Cricetulus griseus: one gene and its partner. The protein of the gene in region 2 binds, or shares a complex with, the protein of the main gene of each other region. Links are inferred from orthologs where the notes say so. Each region holds a gene or a part of one and is shown on either strand. Other genes may lie near its edges. The genes, in order: Ngf and Ntrk1.

Region 1 (6,373 bases), about 12 Mb from region 2:
AAAAAGAGAAGGCACCTGACTATGGTCATTAGAACGGAGGCTGACCTATAATGAAAACTTCTGGAAACCAACCCAGTATGGATGGATTATTTGACACCCACAAATGACTCTCACAATTTTTGGATTCAAAACACATGTCAGGTCCCTGTGCTAGGTCCCAGGGAGACTAACAATGTGATCAGGGTGTAATAGTCTCGCCATCATGGGAACAACTGTGCCAGCAGGTGTCACAGCCATCTTCTGGTATGCAGCACAGAGTAAACCATTGTTTGTTGTTTATATAATCTTACTTGCTCAAGATCCTTCGAATTCAGGGACACAAGCAGATCTAGTTAGAGCTGGCAAAAACAAAAAGCAAACAAATACAGAAACCTCCTGTTAAACCAGGGTATGCCCCCATAATATGATAAAAAAAATTTGCAGGTGGAACAGCTGGGCTTATATTTTACTTTGTTTTTAATACCCCTCTTGAAAAAGAACCACAAGTACCCCAAATCCTTTTGTCCTTCAAGGTGACACCATAAGGACACATACAAAAGCCCCGCATTTAACAACCAAATCGAGCTATTCTGTAGTTTTGAATTTCACCCCTAAATTCACAGGCAGTTATTATATAGAACTGATTCTTAAAAAGCAGTTATATGTGAAATGGTTAATGGATAGATGTATTGTATTGTCTGGAAACTGTTAGTTGTTTGATTAACAACGATAAGTTTTCTAATAGACCACCACAGCCATTATGCTATTTCTACTCTGCCATTCTAGAGTCCCCTGACCTCTCTACTTCACTTCTGAAATGTGTTGATCTACCAGACTGTGTCTGGACCACACAGACCATGCTTAGCAAAGCAAGAAAGCTCAACTTCCAATGCCAGTCCTTTCTTCTTCCTTCATCCTTCTCAGAGTGCCTAGAAATGGGACATAGGTAGATGTGGGGACAAAGGCAAAGACACAAAGGAGTCCAAATCCAGATGGCCACAAGTTCCTCGGCGGATCCTTTCCTTATCCAGGTGTCTTCCAATGGGGATGAAGGACCACTTCAAGTTGTTCCTGGGAGCCGCTGCCTAACTACATCCCAGCTGCATGGAGAATGACTTTTGCCTGGGCAGTACTAGCAAGTCATCAGCAAGGAGGAGACTCAGTACTTCACCCTCCCTCTGTCACTCTCCTGCATCCATTCCTTCCATCCATTCATGGAGGCGGAGGCAGAGAGGAGGGGAGCATACAACATGCTTTTTCAAAGGAAGAAAAGTCATTTCACAAGTTCAACCAGCAAAAGGTGTGTGTGTGTGTGTGTGTGTGTGTGTGTGTGTGTGTGTGTGTATTTCCAAAGATCTTTCTTACAACTGTTCATGCACATGCACACTTGGTGAAAAATCTGACTTTAGGTATATTTCTGCCTTATTGGTTTGGGGAAGAGATGAGGTGGAAATATATACAGGGAAAGGGGGAGGTCTAAGTCAGTCAGGCCCCCACCAGCTCCTGAATCTATCAGATCCAAGAAATTCTGGAGACCCCACCTTAAGTAAACAAATAGAGGAGATGAAAGGGAGTGGGGTGGGGTCTGGGGTGGGGCAGAAGGCTTGGCCTTCTTCTAAGGCTGTACTCACCAATTCTTAAAAACTGATGAAAGCTGTGGACCCCAGATCTAGAAAACTGTAGGCAGCACACTATTCCATCTACAATATTAGAGGGAACTGAGTTCCTGGGAGGCTCCTGCAATCCCAGACCTTAATGCTGGCTGGGAACGTGAGGTATCTGGACCCCTAAGACCCTCTTCCCTCAGACCCCCGGCAGATACACCTCTGTCTAGACATTCTAGTTAACTCTGCTTCTGCCTGGTTTCAGATAACCTCCTAGTACTTGCCAAACCCCGGGAGCTTCCTGGGTGTTCTTTCAGCTCTCAGATTTGCAGGGAGAGGAGCACCTGATGTCCAACCACCAAAGGAGACCTAAACCAACCCAGAAGGCTAGCAAAGCAGTGAGCCAGGGCAGAAGGTGAAGGGACTCTTCTAACTCCGACAAGCTACTCTGCCCTGCTCAGCCTGTCTGCCCATTGGTGTGCAGGACCAGCTACCCTGCCTGGTGCCCTAGAAAATCTCCCTCTGCCACTGCGAACCCGATGCATTTTCATTTGTCCTCAGAAGGTTTGAATCCTTCCCTGGCTGTCTTTTCCTGGCCGAGTCCCACCAGCCTTCCTGGAGCTATCCATCCCTTGTCCCCAGGACCCCTGCAGTCTGGCACCTTGGGTCCAGTCACAGCAGGTGCGGGGCTGGGAGTGGGGGTGGGGCAAGGAGGAAGGGATGAGGTGGGTGGGGGCCAGGATTTGGAGAGGCTGTGACTGGAGCCAGGGAGGAGGGGCTAAATACATTCACGAAGCCTGTTACAGCAGCTCTGTGCTCCAGCACAGCAGAGAGCGCCGGGAGCCGGAGGGGAGCGCATCGGTGAGTCAGGCTGCGCTGAGCCGAACCCCTGACGGGGTGCAGAGCGGTGCGGCGGACCGGGTTGCTGGGCTTGGAATGGTGTGCATGGATCCCTGTCTGGCGAAATCTTCGTGGGTTGAAACGCAGCCCTGAAAGAAGTGTTCGGAGTAGATGTAGGGACGCGAGCCCATGGGCAAGCAAGGGAGGCGAAGGAAGTGAGGGTCTCTCTGGTCGTAAAATTCCCTGTCCCAGGATGTCTAGAAGTCCCAAAGTCAACACTGGCGCCTGCAGAAGCAGCACCGCCTTTCCTGAGCTCTCAGGCTAGAAGGGGACAGCGCTCAAGAGAACCTGGAGAGAGGGATGCGCGCGCTGCAAGCGCGCTGGGGTGGCGGAGCAGTAGCCCGCGCAGTGGAGGGTGAGTGCATAGCGCGTGGGCTGGGGAGTGCGCAGAGTCCCCAAAGTGCCACGCAGCACCAAAGTGAGAGGACCAGCGGCCCAGGGTGCGCTAGACTCGGTGCTTGTCGCAGGGCTCACAGTATAAATTGAGAGTGCCAGGGGTTGATTCAGGGAGCTTGGGTTCCAAGTGCCGAGGTCCCTAGCAACAGGGCCCTTGGTGGGGCCTGCTGGCTATCTCAAGGCTCATCCCCAGTACTTGGGTCACCCAGTACATTCAACTGTCTGCTGCCAGGTGTGGCAGAGGCTGGCACCCCGGCATTGGGAAGGGCAGCGGGAGTCTTGGGTTCAGGCAGAGAAACTGCAGGGGAGGGAGAGAGAGGACTCTGGGGTCATGGTATTGCAACTTGAAGCCAACGTAAACATGCGGCTTAGTTAGCTCTGCTTGATTACAATGCTCTTGCTTTCATAAAACTTTCTGAGATTCTTAAGGAAGGTGTTTTTGGCTTGACCTTTTTCGTCAGGTTTACTCCAGAGATTCAAGAAGTGCCTGCTTGCTAGGCTGGTTTTTCCAAGTTGTTCCAGGCTGGAAATTGTAGCAGTTTGAAGGATAATTTATGGGTGTTTCGTGCATTAAAGTGTATTACAGCAAAGTCTTTTGGGTGCTGTGGGTATTAAGGGAAACTCAGGGCACGTTCCAAGCTGCAAACCAAAATACTGCTCTCCTGGGTGCCTCTGCCCCTTCTGTCACGGGAGGCCAGTGGAAGCCCTGGAGAAAAGACACTTGATGTATTGTCCTGCATCTATCCCTTCAGTATACTCTCTCTGCCCGTGCCAATCCACTCTCCTCATAGGCATAACCAGCTGAACTTTGCAAGCTTAACTGGCATGGAGGGTCGTGGACCCCCCTCCACCCCCAGTAACTTCTCCCCAGGGTCTCGAACTTCTGAATCTGTGTTATATCGGTTTGAAAAGATCTGTATAGTTTTGGCCCCTGCCACCCTTCTTGACTGGTGTTACGGTTCCCTACCTAATGAAACTTTCCCTCTCTGCGAGTCACAGGCCACATTAAGCCTGATGGGTTTCATCTGTTGAGTAAGGCATGCGTCAGCCTGGCCATCTGAATACTAATTCATCATAGACAGTATTCCCAGAGGATGACAGGGGACAAGCAGCTGGAAAGGAGCATGGTCTGGGGGATGAGGCCAGCATGGCAGGTACTGATGTACATGTCCCTTGTCCTGGGTAGCTGAAGGAGGATGGAGTTAATGCCACATCTTTCTGTTCCTCCCCTCATCATTCTCCCCAATATTTTAGGCAGGTGGGGAAAAAAAGGGAGAGAGATGCCTCCAAGAGAAAATGTTAAGGAGTACCACCTGTAGGAATTCAGGGTCTCTAGGGCATGGGCACATGATTTGACAGAGCTATAAGAGTGACTCAGAGGGTTTGATAGCCAGCTGAAATCAGTGTCATCCCTGGACAGCCACTGGAAGCAGCCCAAATAATCAGAAAGTTATTTGTTTAGGACAGTCATGCTGATGTTAGTGGCTGTCAATTCTTTACTGTTAACCTTTAGCAAAGAATAGGCTTTCACTTTCTCCTCTTACCCACCTCACAGTCCCCATTTCCCGAGGGCAGTGAGAGGAAAGGATGAGGCCCCACACTCCACTCTCCTCCAGGGAGAACTCTGTGCCCGGACCAGAAAGGGGCCCCAGCTGCCAACATCAGCATGGAGACTAGGGCAGGGCAGGGCAAGGCAGGGCAGGGCTGGAGCCCCAGGGAAGTTTCTCATCGTTACTGAGATTCAGCTGATGAGAAAATCACACACTTCTAAAGGAGAGTTGAGCATGACAGCTGCTCACTTGTGGAGCACAGGGTCTCCTAGCTGTGGGGGGGAATCCACAGAGAATACAGCTACTGCTCTTCTTTGCTAGGTATGTAACCGAGCTGTGCCTACAGGCCCACACAGCACTAACAGACTGAGCCAGAGACCTGGCCATTTGCCTTCTCCTAATAAGAACTTGCAGGCACCTCAGTATCTGGAGCAGGCCGTCCACAGTCAGGAAGTGGAAGGTTTGCTCAGAGTATGTACAAAGTCTCTGGTTATCTGAGAAGCCAAGGACCTGTGTTTCCATTAAGTGTCTCTTTTCTTTCTTTGACTGGCGCTTTTGATCTTACACATTGTTGCTCTCAAGCTTAGCCAGTTCTAAGATTAACTCTGAGAGAATTAGTGTTGTGTCATAGTGATGTCCGCCAGATAAATAAAGAGGAAAGAAAGATCCTTCCTAACTGTTTCCTGGGATGTTTGCTTCTTGACAGTGGGGATATGGTTATGATTTCCGATCCCAAATAGAGAGACTAAGATGGCTCTGAGACCACTGTACAAAACAGAGAAAATGAGGCCTTGGGATCACTGCCAAGGGGGTGTGCACAATGAGGAGATGTTCCTATCTGGGCTAAAGGAAATAGACCTTCAGTTACACGGTTTAGACAGGACTGGAGAAATGAGAATCCACCATAGAGGACAGCTGCTTGTGGTTATTGTGTCTTTTTTTTTTTTTTTCTCTTCTATGGACAATATAATGTCTTTTGAGGAATTTCTGTAGATTGTTGGCCTTTGACTGTGATATAGGAAAATCAAATGTAAAGGTTGAGATGGTCTCTTGATTAACCTTGAGTAATCTTCCAATGGAGGTTTTTCCATTGGAAAAAGGAAAGGCAGCTGTGTGACTGTGAGCTCCATCAGTGAGCAAGTCATTAACCTCATGAAATCTGACTAGTGTATTCCATGATGCCTTTTGTAAATGGAGCCATTGACACATCAGGGCAATTCTTGGTTAAGTGTGACCACTCTACACACACAGGAAGTTCAGTGTCCCTGCCTTACCTACTAAATGTCAGAAGTCATGATGGCAGCTGAGTTTGCCTCCATGTGTAAACGGTGCTTCCAGTTAAGACTTCCCTTGGGAATGGAATAAAGGTCATGCTTCCAGGCCCTTCTGTTGAGGCATCTATGATGCAGTCAGAGAGCTGGGACTTTAGAAACCCTAGTCTTTGTCCTCTGAGTATCAATATATCAGACATAGTGCCTCTATCAAAAGGGATCTCAGTGTTATGATCTTTCCAGGTGTCACCCTCTGCCTTCTGTGACTGGAATTTCACTGCAATGGAGAAGAACAACAGAAAGAATGGGGGAAAGGTAGAGGGTATCAGGACAGGGCACCTCCTTCCTCACCCATATGCTGTTGAAAGCATAGACAGACTGCCTGCTCAGGGAGATCCCAGCACTGAAGAAAATCCTTCCCTTCCTTGTCAAAGGGATTATGCTTTGGCAGTAGGAGGTGCCCTCCCTAAAGCAGGAAGCCTTGTCCCCTCACCCCTGACAATGACAGCACTTAATACAACATGAACACATGCTGATAGCAAATAAATCCACCCAGTCAAACTGTGAGGGTAAATGAGAATCAGTGATGTTGCATGGAAGGGATGCTGCTTAAGGCACTGGTGACCTTCTCAAATAGAGCAGCTCACGTTCTCCTCACCTCTGTCCCAGGATT
Region 2 (5,888 bases):
AATAGACTAGGGGCAAAAAAAAAGGGGGGGAGGAAGGAAAGGAGGAGGCAGCTGTCTGGAGAGCTGGGGTAAGGGGGGAAAACGGGGTTGTCTTTCTCCTTGACTAACCCTACCCCCAAGGATACTAACTCCATAGTCCTTGGAGGAACTCAGCCCAGCCTCCAGCTGCCCCTAGTCATTGTCATTGTCATAGCACTTAGGCACAGCCTTTGCTAAGCTAAGCTATATCTGCCCCCCCTATCCTACTCTGCCCCACGAAGGGAGCCTCCTCCAGGCCAGCAACTTGAGTCCTCTTTGAATCTCCTGCCATCACCCCCCACTTTTGTCCTTAGGGCCCGGCTATTCCTTGGATGGTTTTCCTTTGCAAAGGTTTCCAGGGTGCCCCACAGTCCAGGCTGTCCACATGGTGCCACTTTTCCTTCCTAGTCTTTCTTCTTCCTACTGGTCACCTTGCTAGCAGTGCCTTTTCCCACATATCAGGAGTTTGCTGAACACCTATGAGGCCTTAAATCTGAGACTTCAGGCAAGAGGCAGAGAAGTAAGCCAGGGAAAGAGGCCGGGCCGGGAGGCAGTGTAGCTAGGAGGGAGGTCCCATGTGCCTTCGGAGGAAGCTGGAAACACAAAGGCCCAAGCCTCCTACTCAAAGCCTTCCAGGCTTGCCTCAGATTCTCTCCTCCCTCCCTGTGCTCCAGCTGCTCCTCACACAGCCTGGGCCCATTTGATGACATCTCTCTGGCTAGGCCTGCACCCTGTCCAGAAACAGGGAGATGTTCACCCTTGACACTGGCTACTCTGCCAGTCTACTTCCATGCATCTTAGGGCTGGCCTACCTGAGCCACTCAGTGTCCCTGCAGAGGTGCACTGTCCCAGGGTCACTCCTACTCAGGGTCTCTCATAGCTAACCCTGTCAACTGTACACATGAGCGTCCCCTCCCTAGAACTTCTGGGAAATCAGGCCATGAGCGTCAGCTTTCTCACCCAGAGCCACAGTTTCGCCTAACTGACACATGGGACCTCCCTCCTAGCTACACTGCCTCCTGGCCCAGCCTCCTTTGCCCAGGCTTATTTCTCTGCCTTTTGACTGGAGTCTCAGTTTTAATGCCCCTTCTTCCAGGAAGCCTTCTCTGTCTCTCCCCCTGGTGTGTGCTCTTGGCCAGAAAGGAAGATTCACAGACATGGTGGCTGATTCTGGTGGTACTCCACTAACTAATCCTGCCTGGGCCTTATGGCTACCTTGAGGGAGAAGGACCATCACAGCCTGTATCTGAGGGTAAGAGTTCTGCTGGAGTGGCAGCTTTCACTTCCTGCGTGTCCTGGGCAGGTCTTGTCACCCCTAAACCTTCTTGTGAAGTCAACACATTTCTCGAAGTGATTACAAGTATCAGAAACTAAACATCAGAGCTGTCCTAGCCAAAGTCAAAGAAGTGAGTTTTGTGTGACATCCTTCCAATATAAATGGCTTATATGCTTGGAGACTGAAAAATATAGCACTACACAAGCACACAGAACCCAGAAGGGGCCTGATGGCTGCCTGGGGTCAGCATTCTCCATACCACATCTCCCTGCGGGCTTGGCCTCTATGCACATAAATGCACATACAGTCTTACAGAACTATGGTCCCAAAGCTCCAGTTCAGACCTTTGACCTCTAGCAACTGTCCTACAGACATGCCCACATTGACACACCTGCCCACTCTACTTCCCTGTGGGTGGCAGCTACGCCTTCTTATCCCTTCCTGGTGTCTCCCCCTCAGTCAGGCAGACGAGCAAAGATACTCTCTCAGGGAAGGGACCAAAGACTGAGTGAGGGGCTGGGCTCTTGTACCGGAGGAAACGGTTGAGGTCCCCGTGACGCATATACTCAAAGACCATGAGCAGCGGGCGACCCTCAGTGCAGACTCCGAAGAAACGCACGATGTGCTGGTGCTGAAGCATGGTGAGCAGCTCTGCCTCGCGCTGAAAGTCCTGCCTGGCGCTCTCAGACGCCTCCTTCAGTGCCTAGGGGGAGGGGTGGGGTCACGGCTAGAGGGGACTCCAGTCCCATCGCAAGTCTTATTCCATTCAAACACCCCCCACCCTGACATGATTGTGCTCTGAGGGACATGGGCCAGCAGTCCCTACCAGGACCACGGTCTCACCTTCACAGCCACCAGCATCTTGTCCTGTTCATTCAGAAGGTTGTAACATTCAGCAAGGAAGACCTTTCCAAAGGCTCCCTCCCCTAGCTCCCACTTGAGCACAATGTCCCGGCGCTTGATGTGATGGACACCTGGGAGGGGCTTGTAAAGTCAGAAGGCAGCCCTGGCATGGGCGGGATGGGGTGCTGGTAAGGGCAGTGCAACCACAGGAAAGGGGGTGTGGGTGGGTGAGAGGATCCGGCCAGGGAGTATGGGAGATACGACCCTGAACCAGGAACCAGGCTAGACTTTGAGGTAGGGTGGGGATAGGCCTGGGTGATGGCACAGTGATGGCCCAAGAGCTTCACACACACACACACACACACACACACACACACACACACACACACACACACACTCGCACTCGCCTACTGTAACACAGTTCCTCACAGGCGTCACTGAAGTACTGTGGGTTCTCCATGATGTGGCCCTGGAGTCCGGAGCCTTTGCCCTCAGTGGGGGAGAGAGAGCTGCCACCCAATGTCATGAAATGCAGGGACATGGCTAGCCCATCCTCTGGAGCCAGCACAGCAGGGCCTAGGGAAGAGACACACCAGCATGAAACATCCAGGCCAAAGCACCATCTCCATACTTGCTCAGACCAGCTTGAATAGTGCCAGCCGCCGCCCCCCCCCCGCCCCCTGCCCGGCTACCTTGCAGGAGGGAAAGAGTCATGCCAGAGCGAGACAGTAGGCAAGGGAAGGGAAGCACTGGGGCCTCTTGACCGGCCCCTGGCACCAAACCCTCCCCTGCTGCTGACAGAAATGAGCCCTCCAGACCACTCAGTGTTTGACAACAGCCACAAACGAATAACCACTACCTCCAAAATGACCCTGCCCCAGCCCAGCACACATACAGCCTGAGCCCCACAGACAACCCCCCAATAATATACCAAACACCACAGGGCATAGATAGGAAGAGACAGGAGAAAACCAAGCCAGTGGGATAGATGGACAGATAGCCCTCTGCTGCCAACTCACGGTTGATCCCAAATTTGCTTCTCTGTCCACATTTGTTGAGCACAAGGAGCAGGGCAGAAAGGAAGAGGGCAGCAGAGACGGCTAGGCCCACAGCCACAGAGACCTAGAAGTAGTGTTGCATAGTTCCATCCCACAGCGGAGTCCTGAGCCAGGTGCCTGGCCCTGTGTCCTGCTTCCCTAGTGACCTCAGCCTGGCTGGGGGAGCATCTAACCAAGCTCAGGATGCAGTAGACTGATTGTCTTGCTCTAGCTCCAAATGACAGGCCAGGGAGCCATGCCTGGCCACCCCATTCCACGTCCCCATAAGCTTCCACATCCCACACTCACCCCGAAAGGTGTTTCATCTTTCTTCTCCACTGGGTCTCTTGATGTGCTGTTAGTGTCTGTGGGGACACAGGGCACAAGGGGTGGGCCTTGACACATACTGCTGTGTCTCCTCCAGCAGCTCCCCACCCTGGCCACACTTCAGGGTCCCAGCTAGTTGTCCCCTCTGCTTCAGCTCTGAGACAACACAGCTGCCCTCCAGCCCAGGCAACTCACCCACTGGCGAGAAGGAGACTGCGGCAGGAAGGAGGAGAGAAAGCAGTCAGAGGGGGAACAGTGAGGCCCTGCCCTCCAGGGTGTTCCTTTACTGGGTGGGGTAGGCTGCTGGGCCTCAAGAAAGAGGGAGCTATAGCTGCCTAGAGGGCACAGCCCTCTCTTCAGCCTGGATAGTTAGAACAGCTCAGGGCCTCAGCAGGCCTGGCTTGGGAGAGAGGCAAGGAGGACAGCATAGAGCTGGCCACCAGCTCTTCTGTCCAGGACAAAGCGCTCTAGCTCGGGGAACCAGGGTCACGGCAGACAGAGGCCAGACCTCCCTGGATGGCCGGCTCTCCACCCAGGTGCCTCCCAGGAGCAGGGCAGGGTTTAGGGCAGCTCTCACACCAGGGATGGGGTCCTCGGGGTTGAACTCAAAAGGGTTGTCCATAAAAGCAGCTATGATGAAGTCAGCCGCCTGGCCATAGGCGTTGGCAGCCAGTAGTGTGTAGTTCCCATTGTTGACATGGGTGGGCTGGTTGAGGCGAAGGCAGCCGTGTCGTATGGTCTCATTCGTCAGTGTAGACTCCAAGAACTGGGTGAAGATGAAGCTGGTCTCGTTGAGCACCGAACCATTGAAGAACCAGCGCAGAGAGGGTGCTGGCTGCCCGTCCACAGAGAAGGGGATGCACCAGTGGTGCTGCTCCACTGCCTGGCCCACGCTCACACTGGCGGGGACTGTGGAAAGAGGGCACACGACAGGGAGTGGACAACTGGCTGGAAGGAATTCAGGGAAGGGAGAAATCAGGGGTAGCAGATCCTAAGAAACCCTCTAGAAGACATATTTGGAAGAAAGTTGGTACTGAATGTGGCAGCCAACAGACAAAATTCAGAAGCTTAAGGGACACACATAGAGCCCAGTACAGGCCTAGTAGTGATGGCCTGCCAGCCAAGCTGCTTGGGAGGCAGAAGGGTACAAGTTCAAGGCCCAAGTAACTTAGAAAGACCTTGTCTCTAAACAAGTAGATAACAGTGCTAGGGCGTGGCTCAGTAAGGAGCACTTGCTAGGCTGGGACACAGCTTGTCCTGGGTCCCATCCAAGGACAGTTACAGCACTGAAGAAAAAGAAAAGGAAAGAAAGAATTAAAAAATCAAGAAACATGGCTTTGAGACAGTCCTGAAAAACTGAAAACCCCTCAATAACAGACAAAATATATTTGTGTAACATGTATGTACAAACATACAAATTTATGGGAATTCTCATCAGCATTCATAACATGAAATATTTGTAGTATATGAAGGAATTATAGTTACTTCTGTTGCCACAGATGGATTTCACAAATATGAAGGTTGGACAAAAGAAAATAGATAAAAAAAATACATAGAGTAAGTTTTCATTTATATAATGTGTAAAACAAACAAAATTTTTCTAATAGGGAAGCAGACATGTAGAAAAATTTTGTTTTGTTTTTTTTTTTTTTTTTTTTTTTTTTTTTTTTGGTTTTTCAAGACAGGGTTTTTCTGTGTAACAGCCCTCCTAGCTGTCCTGGAACTTGCTCTATAGCCCAGGCTGGCCTCAAACCCACAGAGATCTGCCTGCTCTGCCTCCCAAGTTCTGGGATTAAGGATGTGTATGCACCACCCCGTGCCCAGCTTGAAAACTACTATTTTAAGATTTATTTTTATTTTATGTTTATTAGTGTTTTGTCACATGCGTGTATGTGTACCACACATATACCTGGGTGACCATGAAGACCAGAAGAGGGCATCAGATTCCTTGGAACTGTAGTTACAGATGGTTGTGAGCTACTGTGTGGGGTGCTAGGAACCCAATCTGGGCCCTCTGCAAGAGCAATTAGTGCTTTTAAGCAATAGAAAATGCTCATTATTGATCAATTCCCAGCCCCTGTGGAAAATTATTTTCACAAGGAAGCACTGAACATAAAAATTAGGATGGAGAGATGGAGTTGGGACTGAGGGAGGGTGTCTTCTAAAGTCTTGGCAAGGGTAATTCTTGCTTAAAGTATGTATGTCAGCTAGGTGTGGCGATTCTGTAATCCCAGCACTTGGCTGAGGCAAGAGGATTGTGAGTTCCAGAGCTGCCTGGGTTTTGTTGCAAGACCCCGTCTCTAAATAAATAAGTAAATAAATAATGTGTATGATTGGTGTGCATAACTATGTGTATTTCACAATAAAGGAGAAATTATGCTGGAACA

Evidence for each region.
Region 1: the proteins of Ntrk1 (region 2) and Ngf are in contact, whole or in part, in a crystal structure (PDB 1WWW), measured with the Homo sapiens proteins. The link is inferred for Cricetulus griseus from reciprocal best matches to the Homo sapiens genes NTRK1 and NGF. Residues at the interface, in NP_002520.2 of Homo sapiens: His291, Val294, Glu295, Met296, His297, Cys300, Pro302, Phe303, Ser304, Leu333, Glu334, His343, Gly344, Cys345, Arg347, Thr352, His353, Met379, Asp380, Pro382; in NP_001424474.1 of Homo sapiens: His125, Pro126, Ile127, Phe128, Arg130, Gly131, Glu132, Phe133, Ser134, Ser138, Ser140, Trp142, Tyr173, Phe175, Arg180.

Annotation. Positions count from the first base shown.
Region 1 is NW_023276806.1:54,474,831-54,481,203, reverse strand, and holds the start of Ngf (beta-nerve growth factor), read left to right. Parts: upstream 1-2,375; 5' UTR 2,376-2,444; intron 2,445-6,373. UniProt on the Homo sapiens protein: Nerve growth factor is important for the development and maintenance of the sympathetic and sensory nervous systems.
Region 2 is NW_023276806.1:66,679,297-66,685,184, reverse strand, and holds part of Ntrk1 (high affinity nerve growth factor receptor), read right to left. Parts: intron 4,411-5,888; coding exon 4,081-4,410; intron 3,715-4,080; coding exon 3,697-3,714; intron 3,540-3,696; coding exon 3,484-3,539; intron 3,260-3,483; coding exon 3,157-3,259; intron 2,714-3,156; coding exon 2,567-2,713; intron 2,269-2,566; coding exon 2,138-2,268; intron 1,998-2,137; coding exon 1,825-1,997; intron 1-1,824. UniProt on the Homo sapiens protein: Receptor tyrosine kinase involved in the development and the maturation of the central and peripheral nervous systems through regulation of proliferation, differentiation and survival of sympathetic and nervous neurons.